Daphnia pulex: one gene and its partners. The main gene of each other region encodes a partner of the protein of the gene in region 2 in a complex. Links are inferred from orthologs where the notes say so. Each region holds a gene or a part of one and is shown on either strand. Other genes may lie near its edges.

What was found.
Region 1: nuclear inhibitor of protein phosphatase 1-like (region 2) and transcription termination factor 2-like share a complex: the UniProt entries of both Homo sapiens proteins name them as parts of the spliceosome. The link is inferred for Daphnia pulex from reciprocal best matches to the Homo sapiens genes PPP1R8 and TTF2.
Region 3: nuclear inhibitor of protein phosphatase 1-like (region 2) and telomere length and silencing protein 1 homolog share a complex: the UniProt entries of both Homo sapiens proteins name them as parts of the spliceosome. The link is inferred for Daphnia pulex from reciprocal best matches to the Homo sapiens genes PPP1R8 and C9orf78.

Annotation. Positions count from the first base shown.
Region 1 is NC_060026.1:13,495,023-13,502,069, reverse strand, and holds the start of transcription termination factor 2-like, read left to right. Parts: upstream 1-2,898; 5' UTR 2,899-3,082; intron 3,083-3,146; 5' UTR 3,147-3,181; coding exon 3,182-3,236; intron 3,237-3,298; coding exon 3,299-4,368; intron 4,369-4,433; coding exon 4,434-4,898; intron 4,899-4,957; coding exon 4,958-5,243; intron 5,244-5,305; coding exon 5,306-5,503; intron 5,504-5,571; coding exon 5,572-5,748; intron 5,749-5,758; exon of another isoform or gene 5,759-5,915; intron 5,916-5,976; exon of another isoform or gene 5,977-6,002; coding exon of another isoform or gene 6,003-6,314; intron 6,315-6,379; coding exon of another isoform or gene 6,380-6,562; intron 6,563-6,623; coding exon of another isoform or gene 6,624-6,797; exon of another isoform or gene 6,798-6,876; intron 6,877-7,047. Other genes in the region: beta-1,3-glucan-binding protein-like, read left to right, coding at 1-92, 161-367; beta-1,3-glucan-binding protein-like, read left to right, coding at 1,051-1,250, 1,318-1,452, 1,515-1,642, 1,711-1,903, 1,980-2,178, 2,247-2,456; uncharacterized protein LOC124203690, read right to left, coding at 6,003-6,314, 6,380-6,562, 6,624-6,797. UniProt on the Homo sapiens protein: DsDNA-dependent ATPase which acts as a transcription termination factor by coupling ATP hydrolysis with removal of RNA polymerase II from the DNA template. May contribute to mitotic transcription repression. May also be involved in pre-mRNA splicing.
Region 2 is NC_060026.1:2,725,870-2,732,188, reverse strand, and holds nuclear inhibitor of protein phosphatase 1-like, read right to left. Parts: upstream 3,475-6,319; 5' UTR 3,428-3,474; coding exon 3,399-3,427; intron 3,334-3,398; coding exon 3,273-3,333; intron 3,188-3,272; coding exon 3,098-3,187; intron 3,027-3,097; coding exon 2,963-3,026; intron 2,898-2,962; coding exon 2,674-2,897; intron 2,614-2,673; coding exon 2,401-2,613; intron 2,327-2,400; coding exon 1,922-2,326; 3' UTR 1,917-1,921; downstream 1-1,916. Other genes in the region: carcinine transporter-like, read right to left, coding at 1-72, 154-280, 347-515, 615-769, 833-936, 996-1,133, 1,191-1,430. UniProt on the Homo sapiens protein: Inhibitor subunit of the major nuclear protein phosphatase-1 (PP-1). It has RNA-binding activity but does not cleave RNA and may target PP-1 to RNA-associated substrates. May also be involved in pre-mRNA splicing.
Region 3 is NC_060023.1:10,022,975-10,029,258, forward strand, and holds telomere length and silencing protein 1 homolog, read right to left. Parts: upstream 3,289-6,284; 5' UTR 3,193-3,288; coding exon 3,056-3,192; intron 2,989-3,055; coding exon 2,874-2,988; intron 2,808-2,873; coding exon 2,653-2,807; intron 2,590-2,652; coding exon 2,386-2,589; intron 2,318-2,385; coding exon 2,184-2,317; intron 2,119-2,183; coding exon 1,946-2,118; 3' UTR 1,905-1,945; downstream 1-1,904. Other genes in the region: zinc finger CCHC domain-containing protein 8 homolog, read left to right, coding at 1-263, 328-465, 528-712, 816-1,122, 1,187-1,303, 1,364-1,882. UniProt on the Homo sapiens protein: Plays a role in pre-mRNA splicing by promoting usage of the upstream 3'-splice site at alternative NAGNAG splice sites; these are sites featuring alternative acceptor motifs separated by only a few nucleotides. May also modulate exon inclusion events.

The DNA of each region.
Region 1 (7,047 bases), about 11 Mb from region 2:
TCCCACCTCCTGGTGGATTCTGGGAACTGGGAGGATTTGAAGGAGAGAATCTGTGGATCTCCGGCACTAATTTGGCCCCTTTCGATCAACGCGTAAACAATGCTAATAATTATCTTATATAAATAATAAAAATATTTCATTGCTATTTTGTGAATGGCAGTTCCATTTCTTGCTCAATGTCGCTGTTGGTGGAAATTTCTTTCCTGACGGTTGCCAAAATGAAGATTACGACAAACCGTGGAACGCATCTGATCCTACTCAAATGACGAAATTCTGGGAAAGTCGTGACAAATGGCTACCAACATGGAACGCTGGAACAGAAGACAATTCTATGCAAGTTGATTACATTCGAGTCTACTCTTTATGAAAACAATTGCTCAAACAAAAGAATCTTTTATAAAGTTGAATATTCTAAGAAATTGATTCATCTAATAAAAAAATGAGCCTTTTAAATGGTTATAAAATTATGCTATCCATCATCCATGAAGAAAATTGGCGATAAGTGTTATTTGAACAATAAACATTAGATTTTCTATTTCGGTTTTACTTATCGCTCATTTTCTGGCCCTAAATCATGACGTGAAAAACTTGTATTATTCAAACATGTAGACAGGTACACGGGTAACAGTTTTATTGTTTGAAAATCGCTGTATATATAAGTGATAACCGCGATGTTGGGTTACAGACAACCTATACCAATCTGCGTAGGTAGTTATGTCAAAATTATGAACCTTGTACACACTTCTAATCCCGCAACCGCAAGAGCCATTTACGATAAAGATTTGAACGACAGCGATCCCAGCAGTAAACCGCAACAACACTCTAATACATTGTAATGCGTTGGTCTCAAAATTGTACGTGATCCTTGACAGGCCATAGTTTAATCAAACAATCGTCATTGCATTATTGGACTGCGTACCTACTGGGTTGCAAACAAAACAAACACTATGCGTATTTAAGGCACTACTCTGCGCTCAGATTAGAGTAGTCTTTCTTCAAGTGTTCAAGAGAAGCAGGAATTCAATTTTAGCCTACTTGCAAAGAGGGAAAATGAAGCTTGCAACTTTTGCCATTTTGGCTGCTGCCCTGGCCGTTTGCCATGGAGCCAGTTTCAACAGTCCAGCGCGTGGTCCGCTCATCTGGCAAGAAGAATTCGACTTTCTCGACTACAGCAGGTGGAAGCACTTGATCACTGCATGGAGAGGTGGTAACAACGAATTCCAGTATTACGACAACCTCCCAGAAAACAGGTACACTAATTGAGCAGAGACAAATGTATTTTAAGCTTTTAACTAATCTATGATTCTTCCCTTAAAGCTATGTTCGAAATGGGATCCTATACATCAAGCCAACTTTGACAGCGGATCGTTTTGGCGAGGATTTCCTGTACAACGGTGTCCTTGATTTGAACGCCGAGGGTTGCAATATTAACATCGATGGAGGCTGCTACGTGTAATATTTCTATATAGTAACAAAAATATTTTGATTTTCCATTTTCATTTCATCAATCATAGGGTGGCTGGCAATGAAATTATCAATCCAGCTCAGTCTGCCCGAATGGTGACGAGTGATTCGTTCAGTTTTACTTACGGAACAATCGAAGTCAGAGCTAAAATGCCAAAAGGTGACTGGATTTGGCCAGGTAGAAATGAGTTGTTATTAAATATAAAAACAATTGGGAAATTAATAGTATTGAAATATCCTATAAAGCAATTTGGATGTTGCCTACTGACGAAATTTATGGTGGTTGGCCACGATCGGGTGAGATTGACATCGTAGAGTCCCGAGGAAACGCCGATTTTTCGTGCAACGGCTATCCGATAGGGCGACAGTTGGCAGGAAGCACTTTGCATTGGGGTCCTGATCCCAACCAGAACCGTTTTGACCTTACCCACTGGGAAAAGTAAATTTACATATGTGCATGAATTAATTATAGTTACTACTTAGAATAATGTTAAACGTTTTTATTTTTCACAAAGGATCACTCAGAATCCAGATTTTGCCAGCGATTTCCACCTTTACCGTGTCGAATGGCTTCCAACTGGTTTCCAATTCTTCATTGATGATCAAATGATTGGTGAAATGTATCCCCCTGCAGGTGGATTCTGGGAATTGGGAGGATTTCAAGGACAGAACCTCTGGAGCGGTGGAACTGTAATGGCTCCCTTCGATCAAAAAGTATATATTTTTTTTTTATTATTTATTTTAAATATTTCATTTACATCATTGTCGTCGTGTTTGTGCAGTTCCATTTTCTTCTTAATGTCGCTGTCGGAGGTAACTACTTCCCTGACGGCTGTCAAAATGCCGTTTATGACAAGCCGTGGACCGCATCTGATCCTACTCAAATGAAAACTTTCTGGGAAAGCCGCGACAAATGGCTACCCACATGGAATGCTGCCACTGAAGACAACACAATGCAGGTTGATTATATTCGCGTGTATCAGCTTGGTTAAATTGCCACAAACTGATTTTAAAAAAAATTGATTTTATGGAAAGTTTAACTTGACTCTTAAAAGAATAGAATAAAAGAATGCAACATTTTCTTTATCCTTTATTTACTTCACCTCATAATTTGATGTAAAGAGATAGTATTACCACGGTTAGACCGTGGTATTGCAGTGTCAATGCTCAATGGTGCAAGGTTTTCAAATTTCCCACTACGCGTACTAGACTCCTCCCCAACTACTGCGGTTGCACGTACACGATCGAAATAAGAAATTAATATTAAAACAACAATATAAATATGAATGGGAAAACCTATTCGAATTAAAAATTGCTCATAAAGTTCAAAATAGGAATTTGCCTAATCAATGTTTTTCTAACTAAAAAAATAATTCATAAAATTTCGTTGGCTCCTCTTTTTTTTATATTTGGCAACGACGCCTCAGTATTTCTATTCGAAAATTTTAGAAAGAAATCGTGAACAAGTGTGACAAGGAGTTGGTGATGTACTCATGTCCGTTGTTTCTTCTTTCTTTTATCGAACGAAATATTTAATAAAGCACGAGAATAGTCCAGGTCAGACAGAGAGGAAGCTAGGTAATTTGTCATCTTTCTACTGCTGCCTTCGTATTTTATGGTAAACCTTTTGTACATTATGCTAATGCTCTACTGGTTCATGATCACCTAAATTTCAAATCCAGAATCTAGAGGAATTTAAGCTGAATTGACATACAAAATGTCCAAGTTCCCATTGAATGATGAAAGTGACCTGGTTCCATCTACACCAGAAGGTAAAACATTTAGAATTTGAAAAGTAAGGCTTTCTAACATCATTCTGTTTCCTTATTTGAAGATGTGTCTGATAACGAGGCGTATGAAACTCCAGCTGCCCATTCTTTTAATAAATACTCAAAGTCTAATGTGAAAGCATCTGCTGTTTCACGTACAGAGAAGATAGAAGAGTCAGTACAGGGAGAAGATTCAGACTCTTACAGCGTTGAGGGAGAAGAAGAGGAGGAGTCCCAGCATTCATCTAGGCCTGGATCTTCAGATGATGAGGAACCTGAAGATGAGGTAGATAAAAGTCGATCCTCTAACCTGGTTGTCAGTCCTTTTGAAACTAAAAAAGGATCGAAGCAAAAGGCTCATAGATTTATTGAGAGTTCAGAAGACGAGTCTGATGATGAGTCTGATGAAGAAGATGTGTCATATCGTGTGAGAGGAAAACGTCTTGGATCTAGTGAAAAATATTCAACTAGTCAAATTGGAGACCTGGATGAATCTTACCAAGTAATTCAAGCTGGAAGGCGTCAAGCAAAATTGGTGATTCAAAGTTCTGGAGAAAATTCTGCTGAAACTTCTGACATTGAAGGCTTGGCAATTCAGAAGGCCAATGCTTCTGATAGCTCTGACGAATCCGCAGAAGATTCTTTTGGTTCCTCCGTTAAGAAGAAGCCAACCCGAAATCCAATTGATAGTGATTCCGATTCTAGTGGACCACCGGTTAGAGGAAAAGCAATTGACACTGACACTAGTGAAGAGTCCGATTCTAGTGTTGAAGCAACACCGCGAGTCTATCGTGAACAAACTGGAAGGAAAGCTGCATTATCATCCACTGAAGATGAGTCTGAGGATAATATTAGGAAAGAGATGACTCCTCGTATCCGAAAGCAATTCATCGACAGTGACGTATCTACTGAAGAAGAAGTAAGGGTTCCTCGTATAAAAACTCCTCATGTCCGAGATCAAATCATCGACAGTGACGTATCTACCGAAGATGAGGTTGAAGCCATTGCCCCACGGCTCCCTTCGTCCTCTCGTATCCCTACACCACAAGCGATTCAGCGTGCTCTTCGCAATACCAGTCTTGATAGACACGTTTCGGGGAATGATTCAAACATGGATCCCATTAACGCTAATCATGTAAGTTGGCCGTGATTAAAGCTGCCTATGATTAGACCTTTAATATATTTTTTATTTTATTTCAGGAAATGTCGAGGAAATCGGCCGATAAAAGATTTTCGCCTCCTGAGCCTCTTGTAGAGGAAGAAGAAGTACCGATCCAAGATCTATCCAATAGTATTCTTGAGGTATCAAGTACTGTTGTATCTTTTTCGAGCCCTGAAGTTGAAGGAAAAGAACAAGATCAGAGCATAACTGAGTTATCATCACCGGAAATTGCACGAACTCTTCCTGTTCGACTCTCGGCAGCAGAAATAACGCGGATGCGTGAAGATCTTGAGCGCCAAAAACTTCTTTTGGTATCGTCAAATTTAAAATCATTGCCCGATGGAGGAGAAAGGCTCCGAGACAAAATTCGTAAGCTGACTGAACAGCTAGAAACAGCCAACAAACTCGGTGTAAATCCCCCAATGCGCCCCGTTCCAGTTTCATCAGTAGCGTCAAGTGAAGTCCAAGAAGATGAACTTCGAAAACAAATACAAATGAAAAAGGTTATTTTCCAACAATTATTTTCTGAAGATAAGATAAATTTTATTATTGTTTTTTCTAGTGGGCCATGGGTAACGCAAATAGCGACGACAAGGAGCGCCTGCGAACTGAAATCGGTGCCATGGAGGGTCGTCTTATTAAGTTGTCAATTGCCAATGCAACCAACGCCGGCAGCAGCAGTTACGGCTCAAAACATTTGGATTTCCAAAATGACACGCAGAATCGCCAATTAGCTGTAAAACCGAAAAAAACCCAACTTCTTCCTGAAGCTCCCAGACTAACCGAAATGCAGAAGAAGATGTTTGCCGATAATGCGGGAAAGGAACTCTACCAGAAAACGGAAACCGGTTAGTAATAATAGTCATGTTTTTTTTTTTACAGCAACTCAAATTCTCCTCCTTTTAAATAGGTTACATCTCTGCTGCTGCCCGTCGTGAGGCTGTTTCCATCACTATGGATTCGCTTGAAAACCTTCATCGTTCTCTCGCCAGTTGCCCAAAAGAAACCGATGTGGAGAGTACGCCCGCCTGCCTCACAGTTCCTCTCTTGGCGCACCAGGAGCGCGCACTCAAATGGCTTTTATGGCGCGAGACTCAAATTCCTGCTGGTAAGCGACGTGATTACTTGTTCATTCAGTTATTCCCTAAACTTAATTTATTCTTATTTTTCTTTTAGGTGGAATATTGGCGGACGACATGGGTTTAGGCAAGACACTGACCATGATTGCATTGATCGTGAAACAAAAGGAACTAGATCCTCCACCACCTGCGTCCTCCAACATTTGGCTCTCCAAGACCGTCAAGATCAAAAGGTCATCTGGTACTCTCGTTGTTTGCCCCGCCAGTGTAGTGGGTAAGTGTTATCCAATTAACTTAGTTTATTAAACGTAGCTTCACAACAATCAAGTGGCAAGAAACATGGAAAGAGTTAATGAACCAAACGGGGAATGGGAATTTCTTTGTAACATCAGGACAGTGAGTGAAATAAGTAACAAGTTCCTCGTAGAGAATTTTTCTCGCCTGCAATGAAAGAAAAGCGATTATTGAATTTGTAAAATTCTAGACATTCGTTTAGACTTACGTTTTACGACTGTGAAAATCTTCTGGCTAGACGATTCTGTTTGTTTCTTCCATTTGTTTTTTTAAATTGACCAAAAGACTGTCGACATCGACATCTTGGTAATCGATTCGTTTGGGTGTCGTTTGACTTGTCGGGGTTGGTTGAGACGGTGAAATCGGTACGTTTTCGTGTTTCACTTTGGCATTGTTCAAACGACGTTGACTGAAATAACCACTGCGAAGGATCCGAGAGATGATTGCCTTTCCATCGTAGTACGTAATGTTAGTCCCTGGAACTGATTTTCTTTCTCCCTCCATCAGAAATTTGAAATGCTCGGATGCTTTTAAGTTTTCTTCGATCTAAAGATAAAACAACGTGGTTAAAGTAAACGATAGTAATAGTGTCACAGAACGAGTTTCTTTACCGGTGCATTCATGACAAATTCAAGTAGAGTTTTAGGACTTTTAGTTGAAGTGGTAAGTCGATGAAATGTCTTCAAAATTTCGATATCTTCCTGGCTTAGTTGTGGAGCCCCTTGTAATCCGCGAAGAAAGTCTTGACGAATGGCACTACCAATACTCTGTGTGCTCAAAGCATGGAGCATTTCCTAATCAAAAATATCTCACATTCAATAGAGGATACACAAGTTTCAATTTAGTTGAACTTACCTGAACGTCGATGACTTGCTCCAAGTGGTACAAAACCTGCTGTTTTTCGTTTCGCCTTTGTTTTGCAATACCTTTAGGTCTACTAACGAGGGTTTGAGAAAGTATTTTCGAGGTTGAATTCGGAGACACAAAAGCACCTGGTGAGCTTAACGACTTTTCATTTTCACGTTGCATTTTGGCTCGTCTCGAACACGACAATAAATCGACTACCACGTGTGAATGCCGGCAACAAAACTGAATCTGCGAAGCAAGGTCACCCTCTACCTAACCTCCGGTTATGGGGGGGGTGGCCTAGGGTTACACACTCGGAAGGGTTGGGAAAAGGCGCGGCTTACGTTATGGCGTCCTAAATTAGTTTGCACGTGGAAAAATCGTACTTGTTATTGCTAGATGCATTACATTTTTCTCCAAAATAAATAGAATG
Region 2 (6,319 bases):
TACGACCTTGTGGGGTTCTTTTGGGGCCGTTTTTCGTGTCAAACTCGAATTGCGGTTTTCGGTCATTTTTCTCTGTAAAGCAAGAAAGTCTTGTGGTGAATTGCATCACTTTTGTTATTAGATTTGAGGGCTAAAGAAATCAACTTTGATTACTTCCAGTTGTGGTAACAAATGCTCGGGAAATTCCTTGCCATTAATCTTGGCGCAGGTCTTCATTATAGCTTTCACTTCGGCAAAACGACCTTGTGACATTAACCATCGAGGAGATTCTGGCAGATATCTAAAAAATTACATCATTATCAAATATGACGCAGCGATTTTCATTGTGCAATTTTTGTGAATTTACACGAGATAGATGAAAAAGACGAGAAACGGAAGGGTAGTTGCGTAGCAGAGATGGGTCCAGTCTCGGACAACATAAGCTACTCCAGACAGGAGTAACATACCCATCGTGTAGAATAGACAGGTCATGACGGTGATAAAGGTCCGATAGGTAGGGCCGACTAGTTCCAAGGCTATAAAGACGTCATTGAAACAACAATTGGATTAAGATTACGAATCCTTAGAGTGTCCTAGATACGCAAACCAGCCATACTGCTACTGTATTCGTATACCTATGATGAATGGAATTTGATAGATGGCCGGAATTGTAATTCCAACCATAAACCGGCAAGCGGCCCAAAGCCAAAAATTAGGAGCAAGTGCTGTGAGTATTCCACCGGCGAGTTCGACACTCAGACAAAGAAAGAACGACGTCTTTCTTCCAACCCTTGAGAAATTAAAAAAGTTTCGAATGAGGTTAAACTTGATTTACGTAATCTATTCCAATTACCTGTCGCTAATAACACCAAAAATGTAAACGCCAATGATGCCTCCGACGTTTAACAGTGAAAGTCCAATCGTCGGGTAAAGATTACGAGTGCAAACTAGTTCAAACTGAAAAAGCAAATTTAATTATTTTAAAGAAAATGTAGGGGGGAAATAAAAATCATTACGTCAATGACAATCGACGAAGAAATGATGGACTTGTCAAATTCCCATCCGTACAGGCACTCGGTAACGTTATTGCCGTCGGCCGATTCCGTAAAATTGTACATGGTGCATTTGCTGAACTCCATTACTCCATCATTTACCTGTCAATCCCAAAATTGATTAAACACTTCGTAAATTCACTCAATTAACGTAATTACCGTGTAAGGAATGTTGGTCATCTTCCATTCGCTGGAATTCCAGTTTTGGGAATCCACATCCGGCGGACTTTTGCACCAGTGGTCGGGAACGTTGGCCATAAAGAGCTGATTAAAAGCGTGAAATCCGCAAGGAATGCATGCCGGAAGGCAAACCAGCCACACAAGCAACTTCTGGTACCGTCCAAATTCGCCTACAAAGGGCAGTAGGTCATCGAAATCCCAACTTTTCTTCTCGTCCATTTTCGGACACGTCAGTGGCTCAAATTCCGGCGCGTGTAAACTATTCAATCCGCTGGATGTGATTTTTTTTTTTTTCAGAAGAGACTCACCTCTTTGTGGATTTCACACGATCGGATTCTGTACGGCAGCAATTGGGAGAAATAGTTCAGACACCAAAGTTCACTAATAACCAGACCCGCAAATCAACGTCAGTCGCCGATGGACCCATGCTGATTACAGAGGCAATCCAGGGCGTGGGTAGGCTCCGACTTCCCCTTATATCCGGTCAGCAGCAGCAGCAGCAGTGGAATCCCTAAAAGTACATTAGTCTCGTGCGTCAAAATTTTTAACAGGCTAAAGGACCACCACCTTCGATGACTCTCTCCAAGGAATCCCTACAACGTCGCCGATCATTTCAAATCTCGTTGTTGTTTTTTGTTAATTTCTTTTATTTAAAAAAAAAGGAGGAAAATACGTGATGACATGACAAGTTGTAGAGGTGTGAATTGTCGTTACATAAGAAGTGAGGGTGCTGGCTTTTTACCCGGCCAAGCTTCTTTGGCGTATTTCTTTCTCTTGGGCCCGTTGGAGGAAGGATCAGACTCTACCGCAGGAGGTTGTGTAAACTCGACATTGAGCCGGGAAGTGACCGGTGCGGCAGCTGGCTCCATTGGGGCGGACAAATCGACATCAGGGGCAGGGTTAGGCATCAATGGAAGCCCCAACTTTGAAGCTAAAGTCGAAGAGAAGAGCCCAGAAGACGCGGATTGAGATGTTAAATGAGACTGGGATGATTCACCCATCTCAGGGGGTAGGCCTCCGTACAGCCCTTCTCCTCCAGACGAGGCTGACAAAGAACGGTGGAACTGGTTCTCTCTTGACATCGTTCCACTGGCTAAAGTTTCGCTTTTAATCCGCTATAATGTCACGAAAGAAAACTTACAATTAATATCACCACTTAACAGAATTTAGAAGACTATTTAATATTTACTTTAGTAGGAATAACGAGGGAAGTGTGAACAAGATTGCGGAATCTTCCCACATTCGGATCAATATCTTCCGGATTGATAACTTCTTCTTCGTCATTGAAAGTGATCGACCTCTTCTTTCTCTTGCCTGCGGCAATTCTGCTGCCTGCGTCATCGTCGGCAATACCCAACATTGAGATCCGTCGATTATGAGCTGTGTTGAATTCAGTCAGATTCTAGATAAAGCAAACATTTGTGAAATTTTCATAAAAAGTTGAATATAAAAAGGCTCTCACATCCAACTCCATTTCTGATTCTGGAAGCCCAAGTTTCCCTCCATCCTGGTGAACACTTTTGGCTTCTTCTTCTAGTTCTTCCAAGATCGGTCTGGGGGCATTTTGTGGTCGCTCTCTCAAAATGTAATATCTAGTTGAAGCACCAAAATGAAAAGTGCTGTCGACTGGCAGTTGGGTAGGCTTTTCACTTTCAATCCTCATAGTACCAATATAGGTTCCATGGGCTGGATATTTGAAAACAATATTTAGATCAATGAACAATTAATTTTTGACAAAGTTATAAACTTACTGCTTCCCAGATCAACAAGAAATGCACGGTTCAGATGCTTGTGCCACACAAGTGCAGAGTGAACCTTTGAATCATGAAGACAGACGACAAATTAACGAAAGATGCAAAGTGATAATTTTGAAGGATACAACATACCCTGGAGCAGGATGCATGGTCAATACAAAAATCACACATTTGAGGATTCCGGCCAAAGAGGTAGCATTTCTTCTGATCTATCATCAATTTCTGTAAGAAACACGAAGAACAAAAACAAATACAAGCCGGTAAAAAAAACCATCAACAAAGCCGGCAATTAACAAACGCATGTTACCTGGATAAGTTTACCATCTTTGGTCACATCAAGGTGAAGTCCAGTCGTCGGTTTACCAGCCCTGCAGAAAAAGAAATCGGGGTTATTTCAGTACGTTACACATTTCCTATTAAAGCGTTTAAATACCAATTTGGAATCTCATAGTGATTCGCCATTTTTTTGTTTTTTTTCTGACAGCTTTTTTTCTGGCAGCACGCTGCAACATTGCGCGATTTATTAAATAATAACCTACATACGTGTAAAAGAGGCGGCAAAGTCGTAAAGCATTCAAACACACTCGGGTAATATGGTGCTACATTGTTACTAACGAATGGGACATAATGAAACCTTCAGCATTGGCGTCGTATAGACTGAATATAATACTGCGCTGGGTTTAAAACTTTTCTTTGGTCAACGATGATTGTGGAAAGCGCTTAAAAACATTCAAAGAGGTCGGGAGTTTCTCTTTTCCCTATCAAAAAATAGAATTCGTCACCTTACTTGAGTCAATTTCAACATGTGATGTTAATGCATTATAAATACACACTGGAAAAGAACAGGTGAACCACCTTTCCTTTTCTGCGCCGAAATAAATTATACCGTCAAATAAAACTGAGCCAGCAGCAGTACACGAATGATGCCCTATATATTTAGACATCTGTCAAGGAGGAGGAGCAGAGTCTAATTAAACCATTTGGCTGCTCGTTTTATTTAACGACTTGGCGAACTGCGTAATTGGTTTAAATCCAGAACATTTATATTTTTACTCTTACTATAATTTACAATGAACAATAACCTACATTTATAAAAAGAAAAAAAACGAAAAAAAAATTAATTGTACAGTGGAAATGTCCAGATTCTAAAAAGCTCAAAACACCAGATTTAGAATAACTAAATTAACAGTACAAAAGTTTACGAATCTGTGGAAATCTTTGCTTGACACCAAAAAATAGTTCAGCACCTCATTCCCGACTTGGATTTCCATATGCATCACATGTGCGTGGTGTTTTGTGTATACTGTACAACCCTAAAGTCTGAGAACTCACCCAAGTGGAAATTCTCAGCGTTCAGGTGATGTTACTCATGTCAGTATGAACAGTGAGCAGCACTCACAGGTTCAGCTAATGTCACAAGTTGACTGTCAGACAATTTAATGTTCACCTGACATTTCAGTTTTTAGGCTTTTTCTAGGTCACGTTAAAACTTTGATTCCGGACGTAATCTCTTCTTCGTTTAATTGACAAAATTTTTCTTTAGTGTCCATCATTAAACCTCCCACCAGATATGATTTATGTACCGCCCATGTAAATTTGACTAAGGAGTTTGAATGGATTATAAATAGAACCATAAAGATTAGAAAATATTAGTCCAAATGGCTTTTCTCACACATTTCGTAACAAAAACTAAATTCAAGAGAAAGAATTTTTTTTTTGACTGGGAAATCACGTCGTTTGAAATCGTCCAAGAGCTAATAAAGTTGCATAAGTACTGTCCTCGTGTAGACGGACTGTGTTTGGTGGGGTGCTTATTTTTAAATAATTATTGTCCATTCGTCTTGTCAGTCGGTGATTGGGGAAAGTCCGCTGGAATGTCTCTCAGCAATACGAAGAAAAGTTCTGGTATGTAACAGAAGAGTTTCTCTTTCGCCCTGTCCAACTAACAAAAAAAATGTAACACATTGAAGAGGAAGTCACGGACGATTTCCGGGCTGATGCCTGCGACACGATGGCGGGGCCCAGCGCAATAATATCCCGGCACCCATTTCCCTGTGTATATTCGTCTGCTCGTTGAATATATAACAAATAACGTCGCACAAAAGTTTTATCAAGAATTCTGCGTTCATTTTCCTTTTTTTTTATTTTTTGGTGTAGGCTACCAACGGTCTAATAGGCACCTGCTTGTTGGTGGGTTGCCAATGACAGTAGTTGTGCGTACAGTACAACCGCACGGCGAAATAACCGCAAAGAGCGTGATTTGTTCACATTCAAAAAAGGATGGGGGGGGGGGATATAGAAGCTCAAAAAACCGCCTAGGCACACGTGAATATTAGGAGCAATTGGCGAGAGTTGCCAATTTGCTCCCTTTCTCCTTTTCTTTTCAAAAGAAAAAATAAATTCCCCCCAGTTTTGTTGTTGCGCAACATTTTAAAAAAATATAAAAATCTTTCCAGCTGGTGCTGGTAAAAGTATATCGGCGGAATGTCTATAACATGTAATGAGCACATAATGACTGGTATGAAAGATTTTTCAATCTGTAGCTATACACGCGCTTGTGAGTTGTGTGGTCGATATGAATGAGATCAAGAGCCGGAAAGTGTTACAAAACGTGCCGTCACGCATGGCTCGACCATGTACATTCTTTGTGTTTCATCTCGGACGATTTTCATCAGCAGCAGATGCACAACATCCAAATCTCCTAGACGGTGTTGTTGTCGGTTCAAACATTTATCTCCAAAACCATCTTTTCTTTCGGGTCTGTGTTAAACACATGACGCAATTTAATCTAACACGACAGTCACGGTATACAAAAAAGACACTTTTTCCCGAAGAGGCTTGACCCGATATCTGTGCTGCTTTCTCCGCCGCTAAGACGAAAGTGCCAACAACCCGTAATGTTTGCTTTATTTAATTAATAAAGAAAATGTGTTATTCTGTCTCTGTGGCCGAGAGAGAGAGAGAGTATTAGTGTACCAAGGACATTTTGTGCCGTGTCACGATTTTTACACGACTTGAAAAACATTTTTCTGAAGGGGAATCCTTTTTTTAAAAGCTTGTATAAGGATCTTGTGTGTTATATTCCTCATCTTCTTTTCGTAGAAGAAAAATAAATTTCCGTCTGTGGAAAGTCACAGGTAGAAAAATGAGTCCCACAGGTACACTGGGTACATATACAACACCCATTATTAAATAACTTTCTAACGTGACCGGAAAAATCTATATAGATTCTCTCTAGCTGGTTATATGCACTCGTTTTTATTGACTTTTGGTGCGGAAATTTTCACAATTGTTTGAACAGCAGATAATTCGATAGTCTTTCTGCAATTGCTGCGAGAGATTATCCGACTACCT
Region 3 (6,284 bases), on a different chromosome or scaffold from region 2:
AACATGGCAGTACAGCGAATGAAGAAGACGAGCCAGAAGTTGTGTTTGTAGAAGAAAAATCCTGCCATATAGTAACTGACAATACTACACCACAATCAAGGGGAAAAGCAACTGCAACTCAAAATATCATTAATGAAGATGGGAATGATGAACCTGAGATCATTTTTGCTAGTGAAAGTCATGTTGTTTCATCATCTGTTTCAAAACCAGAAACTGCTGCTGCAACATCTGATGGACCATTGTCTACTGAGCAGGACACACCTGTAACTATAGAATATTATTCTTCTAATGATTGTTGGTATTTATTAAGTATTTTCATGATTTCAGGTTAGCTTAGGTAAACCTATATCTGAAAATGAGAATGGACCTGAAGTTATTTTCGTTCAAGATGTATCTGGAATGTTTTGCTTAGATACCACACCAGAAGTGGGAACAAAGAAACCATTAGGACCAAGATTTACGAGGGTAAGTAATACTGTGGATAAATATTCTGATTAAACTATAATTATTTCTTGGTTTTTCATTAGGAATTTAGTTCAACTCTCAAATCTGGAGAAGATACTACAGACTCTACAGGAGATAGTGTAAAACAAGACAACAGATGCTTTAACTGTTTGGGTGACCACTCTCTTATGAACTGCCCAAACCCAAAGAATCAGAAAGAAATATCAAAAAATCGTTCTTCATTCATGCAGAAGCAGCCAGCACGAATGTAATGCTAACCTCTAAAAAGTCAAGTGATAAATAACAGTCACACCATAAATGAGTGCATTGTACCATTTTACTATCTTACTATTTTTCTTTCTATTGTTTAGGAATCGTTATCATATTGACAAGCCTAGCAAATTTGATCATTTTACTCCTGGTGTCATCAGTAGAGAGTTACGGGAAGCTTTGGGTCTAAGAAGTTCTGAAATCCCGTTGCATATCTATCAAATGCGGATTTTAGGATACCCTCCTGGCTGGATAGAGCATATTAAAGAATATTCTTCTGGGTTAGAAATGATTGATGCTGCCACTTCTCCCTCTTCAACTGAAGCAAACCAAACAGTTACTTATGACTATGAAAAAATCATCGATTACCCTGGCTTCAACGTTCCTGTTGATCGACGAGTCCGTGACGTAAGTGGAACCCATTTTGCTTTTATAATACAGTGTAAATTTTTTTAACGCTAATCAACCGCAGGATTGGCGCTATTTAAACTTTCCTCCAATGCAAGAGCACAATTCCAAAGAAGCTCTCATCGCCAATTTAAAGATGCACAGTAAAACTCAAAAGAATTCTAGTGAAGAAACGAATTTGGTTTGTTGCTAGATAAAATCGTTGAAATGTTGTCAAATAAGTTAAAATTCCTTATTTTAGGAAATCGTTGACATGGATACATCCATAGAAGACCTTGAAGAAAAGCGCCAGGCATTGCTTGCTGAGTTGGGAGATGAAGACGATGACTGTGTTATTGAAGAAAATTTTGAAGGGAGTGAAACCACTAACCCAACCAACACAACAACTGGCATCGTTACTGGGGACACATTGAAAGAGAGTGGATCTCCCAACCTAACCAACGAGGTTCAGGAAATGGATATTGCTGCAGTGACGATTCCTACCTCGTCAATATCAGATCTACCTCTAAATATTGAGTCACCAATCAACAATCAAGACTTGTCACCGAAAAAGAGCAAGCTCTTGGCAATGGGAACTCCTGTCTCTATACGATATTCACCTTATAATATCCTACCTTCACGAGACAAGTTTGCGCAAAATGGGAAACTTGGGACCATGGGTGAACTTGAACTATACGAAAATCTTCCAAATAGTACGGGCGCTTTTCAAAAGATGCGATCTTTACTTCAAAAGGCGAAGCAAATGTTTAATAGGAAATAAATGGCACTGAAAAATCGTTTATTTGAAAAATGTATGTATTTTTTTGAAAAATTAAGACTTTCATCATCTTCGGAACTGTCGCCGGAACTTTTCGAAATAAAAGTCGTCGCTTGCCTTATCATGCTCTTTTTTCCCACCGACATTGTCTAACCTTTTAGGTAACTCTACAGGGACGGCTGGTTTGACAGAAGCTTCAGCACGTTTCTTACGTGGGGGGCCAGATTCTTCAATATTAACTAAAAATATGTAAAAATATGATTAGAAATTTTTAATTAAGTATAGATCAATAATAGAAAGGTACATCTGTTATGCTGGACAAAATTAACGGCCATGTTAGTCGGAACAAACATTGAAGGACCATCTTTTTTACGAAGTCTTTCTTGAAGCAGCTTCTGTTTTGCTTCTTCAGTTGCTTCAATATTCTTAATTTTGGCCCTTTAATAAAATAATTATGAAAGTCATTGTAAAAATTTTTAATATAAAAATGTTTTAGACTGGCATACTCTATTCCTAGATCTACTTCCGGAATTCCGCTAAGCATCTGGTTGGATAACATTTCTTCAGATTGGACACTAGATTTCACTCTCAGATATTCAGGTACTGACGAAAAAGCAATTTCTTCAGGAGTCAGGTATTTATTACTTTTATCTTCATCCTCTTGCATTAGACCTTTCCTTTTTGCAAGTTGCTCCTCAATATACTTCATCCTAAAAAGAATAAACATTTTATAACTGAATTGCAAGAGTTGTAAATGAATAATATTTACACACATTTCTGCATCTTCATCTCGAGTGTTGGTTTCCACGGAAAACTGTGTACCAATTCCAGTTTCATATGCATCATCAGCAGATGAACTATTTTGCTTTCCAGCTTTAACTGCCTTCATATCAGCCATTCCACCAGTTGTAACTTTGAAGGGATCATTCTTTACTTAAACAAGTAAACTAGTTAATGCATGATCTTGTATAAATTTCTATATACACTGCCTTACCACTGTAACTTCCTCTTCAACAGTTATTCGCTTGCCAATTGCCAATGCCACAGCACTAATACCGTGGGGTCTCTCTCTTAACTTTTGTAACTCTTTTGTCTCTTCCAGCTTTAACCTAGAAAATTAGGAAATTAAATATGACAATACATTTTAAATTATATTATTTATAAGAATGTGCATACAACACGTCGAGCTCATCACTGCCACCAGCATCATCGTCCTCTTCAATTTCGAGACGTTTTCTCATAGGTTTTCTACTTGGTTTCTTGAATTTAAATGTTAGAGAAGCTTCTCCCGAATTATCACCAATTTCTTCCATATTTTTTTACGATTTGTTTAATTGTTCTGTAACTTAAAAAGGCGTCCCGTTCTTTTAGACAAAAACAAAACAGAAGCAGTACAGTGACATACAACCTTGACAGATTGCCGATATATGGGAAATTCGGAATCGTATTTGAGTAATTCTTCAACTTGACCAGAGTGATAGGTATAAAAATATTTTTATTCTTAAATATTTAAATAGAATTATTCTCAAATTAATGAGTCATTAAATGAAGGAATAAACTGACAAAAACTGGCAACAGTTAGAGCTTACTCCATCTCACGGTGTCATGCAAATGGCGACCATTGTTGTGCATTTCAATTTAGAATATTTACCTAAACATGCTGAGTTTGTTGGAGTGGGATTGGAATAAGAGTCTTCATTAAACTTACTGTCTTTTCGTTTTATTTATTAGAAAATAGCATTATAGAGTTTCCTCAATGTTTTTGTTAGTCAAGCACAGATTTCAGCTTTTGCTTCTTTCTAAGTGTTAAAAAATCATTCCTTCCTGAAGCCTGAAATGAATCTTTTGATAGCACAAATTGAGTAACCAATATAAGTATAATATTATATTATCACCTTATTTATACATTTTTCGACAGAATTTTGCGGAATTTTTCGTAATATTTGTTCTTTTCATTTTGCTTTTTTCCTATTGCTATGTTTAAGGGGGCACTGGAAGGATAACGTTGCTTGAACCTAATCACCTCCTACTCTTTTTGAATTTCTAGAAGAACTCTTCCGCTTGATCCTAAACCAAAGACGTGTACTTCACTGTGATCAGACTCTCTTGCCTTGACTGCAAGATACTCGGTGAATCTCCGCCTGCCGTAAGCATCCTGGCTTCCTGGAAACCTTTTCATCTTCTAAGATGAAGAATTTTCACGATTGCACTATTGTGGAATCCTCGAGTCGTCAAACATTGCATGAAGCTCAGAGTTGTGTATGTCTCTCTTGCTGCAATGTTTCTTGCATATGGATTGGAATACCACTCCTGTAGATGGGATGTCTATAGTTTCATGAGCAGGAGGTGTTGGTGTGCCAACCCATCAGGAAGATCAGAATTATCTTCTTCTCCCTTAAGGAAATGTAAGTTTTTTCGGTTTTGTAATTTGTGCGTTTTGTTGATGTAATTAATTATATAAGAACGTAAATGCGTGGTTATTTAAAGTTTTAGTTGGGATTTAGAGTTATTTTCCGCTGTCTAACTATCCATAAAAAGGTCTATAAGAGCCTGAAAATGAAGACAACGTTAAGGACATTGTAAAATTAAGGTCCTCTTTACATCAGGCGGCTGACCCAGCTGAAAATCGTTTCCGAGACGTTAAACAACTTCAATGAACGCAGTAGATTACGACAAATTATAGACAAATGATTTAAATGTCCTGTAAATAATAATTGTGCCTTGTGTAAAGGTACACAAATTTCTGTCTGCTAATATTAATTATTTGATAGATATTAATTTTAATATACCTCCATGTTACTAATAGCTGGAAGTTTGTCTTTTTTCGAGAACATCGATTTGATCCATTATTGCGTGGTGAGATACTTTCTTTTATGTCACTTAAGTGAGCTCTACAGTTTGGATTATTAGATTTCCTCAGATAATGCTAAGCTTTTTATAATGAAATCAAAGAAATTTACAGAAGTTGTTAAACCGTTTTTCCAACTGAATCTTAATTTTCCCTGTTGGTTTCTCTGACAATGATTTATGCATAACAATGCATTACATTTCCTTTCGTTCACAGGATATGTCAGCCAGGTCAAATTGAAGCTTTTTTTCTAATGCAGAACATTTTGACTTCGTCACCTTGCTGCTTGTTAATTGGGAATGTTGTTAAATTAGGAACAACTGCTGTTTTTCTTCCACATGTACTTGTTTTTGCTTAAGGTGTTTTAAACGTGTGCGCCAGGTGGCCATGAAGTACAGAGGTACGTGGGCGGAGACATTCATGATAGTGTCCGCTTGTTTAGTTGTTTCGGGAATATTGTCGGGCTTCATTGCTAGATACTACCGGATGCTACTCAATTCGCCAGTTTATACTTTGCTATTTCCCATTATGAAAATGAAAAAGGTATTCTGGTTTGCATTCCTCAAGTTTTTAGTGTGTAACATATTTGTGTGTGAATTTACAGGTAAACTAGCCTATAATTCTCTTAGCCAAAATATCCGATGACGTGGCATGACTTTGATCCCGAAATGTTAGCTTTTGCTGCCTGTATAGGCTGTACGAATTTTGTTTGTTTGATCAGAGTAAGTTATATTTAACAATTATTCGTCTAGAAGGCGAATAGATAACTTAGTTTCAGTTTTGTAGACTGCCAGTGAAGTAAAAGCAAGTGTGGAGTTTGTGGACCTGTGGTTTTATATGATAATACACTCAAATCATCATCGTCGTAAGTTATTAAATTACCCATTAGATATGTTCATAAATAATTACGATCCCGGGGATTTTTTTTTATACAGGCCATTTTGATTTTTTACTGTGATCCACTTTAAACGCTTGCGTACGGCGATCATACGTATCCCGTAGGTAATCATTACAGATTTATAATTTCCATTTGTTGTTGAGTTAATGTTTTTTTTTTTTCTTTTTGCAATTTATCTACCTTGAGCTAATGATAACTGAATTAATATGAAACTCACCAGACCTGCACCCAGACCGAACTGAATTCTTCATTTTTAAGTATTGACAACATTTAAACCACTGCGCTGGATAGCTCAACTCGGTAATAACAGATTTCTCACGTTCAGTTCACCCGGTGGAAAGGATGGTATCCAACAAGTCAATTAATCTCAACTATCTGTAAAGCTTGTTTCATCAATCTCTGCTGTGTCTACGCAGACTGGCAATCCGACATGCAAAGCATTCTGCCTCCCAGTATGAAGGGCACAACAGACTTCCAACAGCAGATAAAAGTAGAGGTGTACTGCCCTAGTTTGTCCAGACAGGATGTCCTTCTCGCTTGAAGGTCACGAGAAACATTACGTAAAACTGGCATGCGGTAGTGTAGAGGTTGGGTGAGAATGACACGTGTTTCATCATTATCAAAGCAGGTACAATAGCCGCAAGGGTAAGGTATTTGGT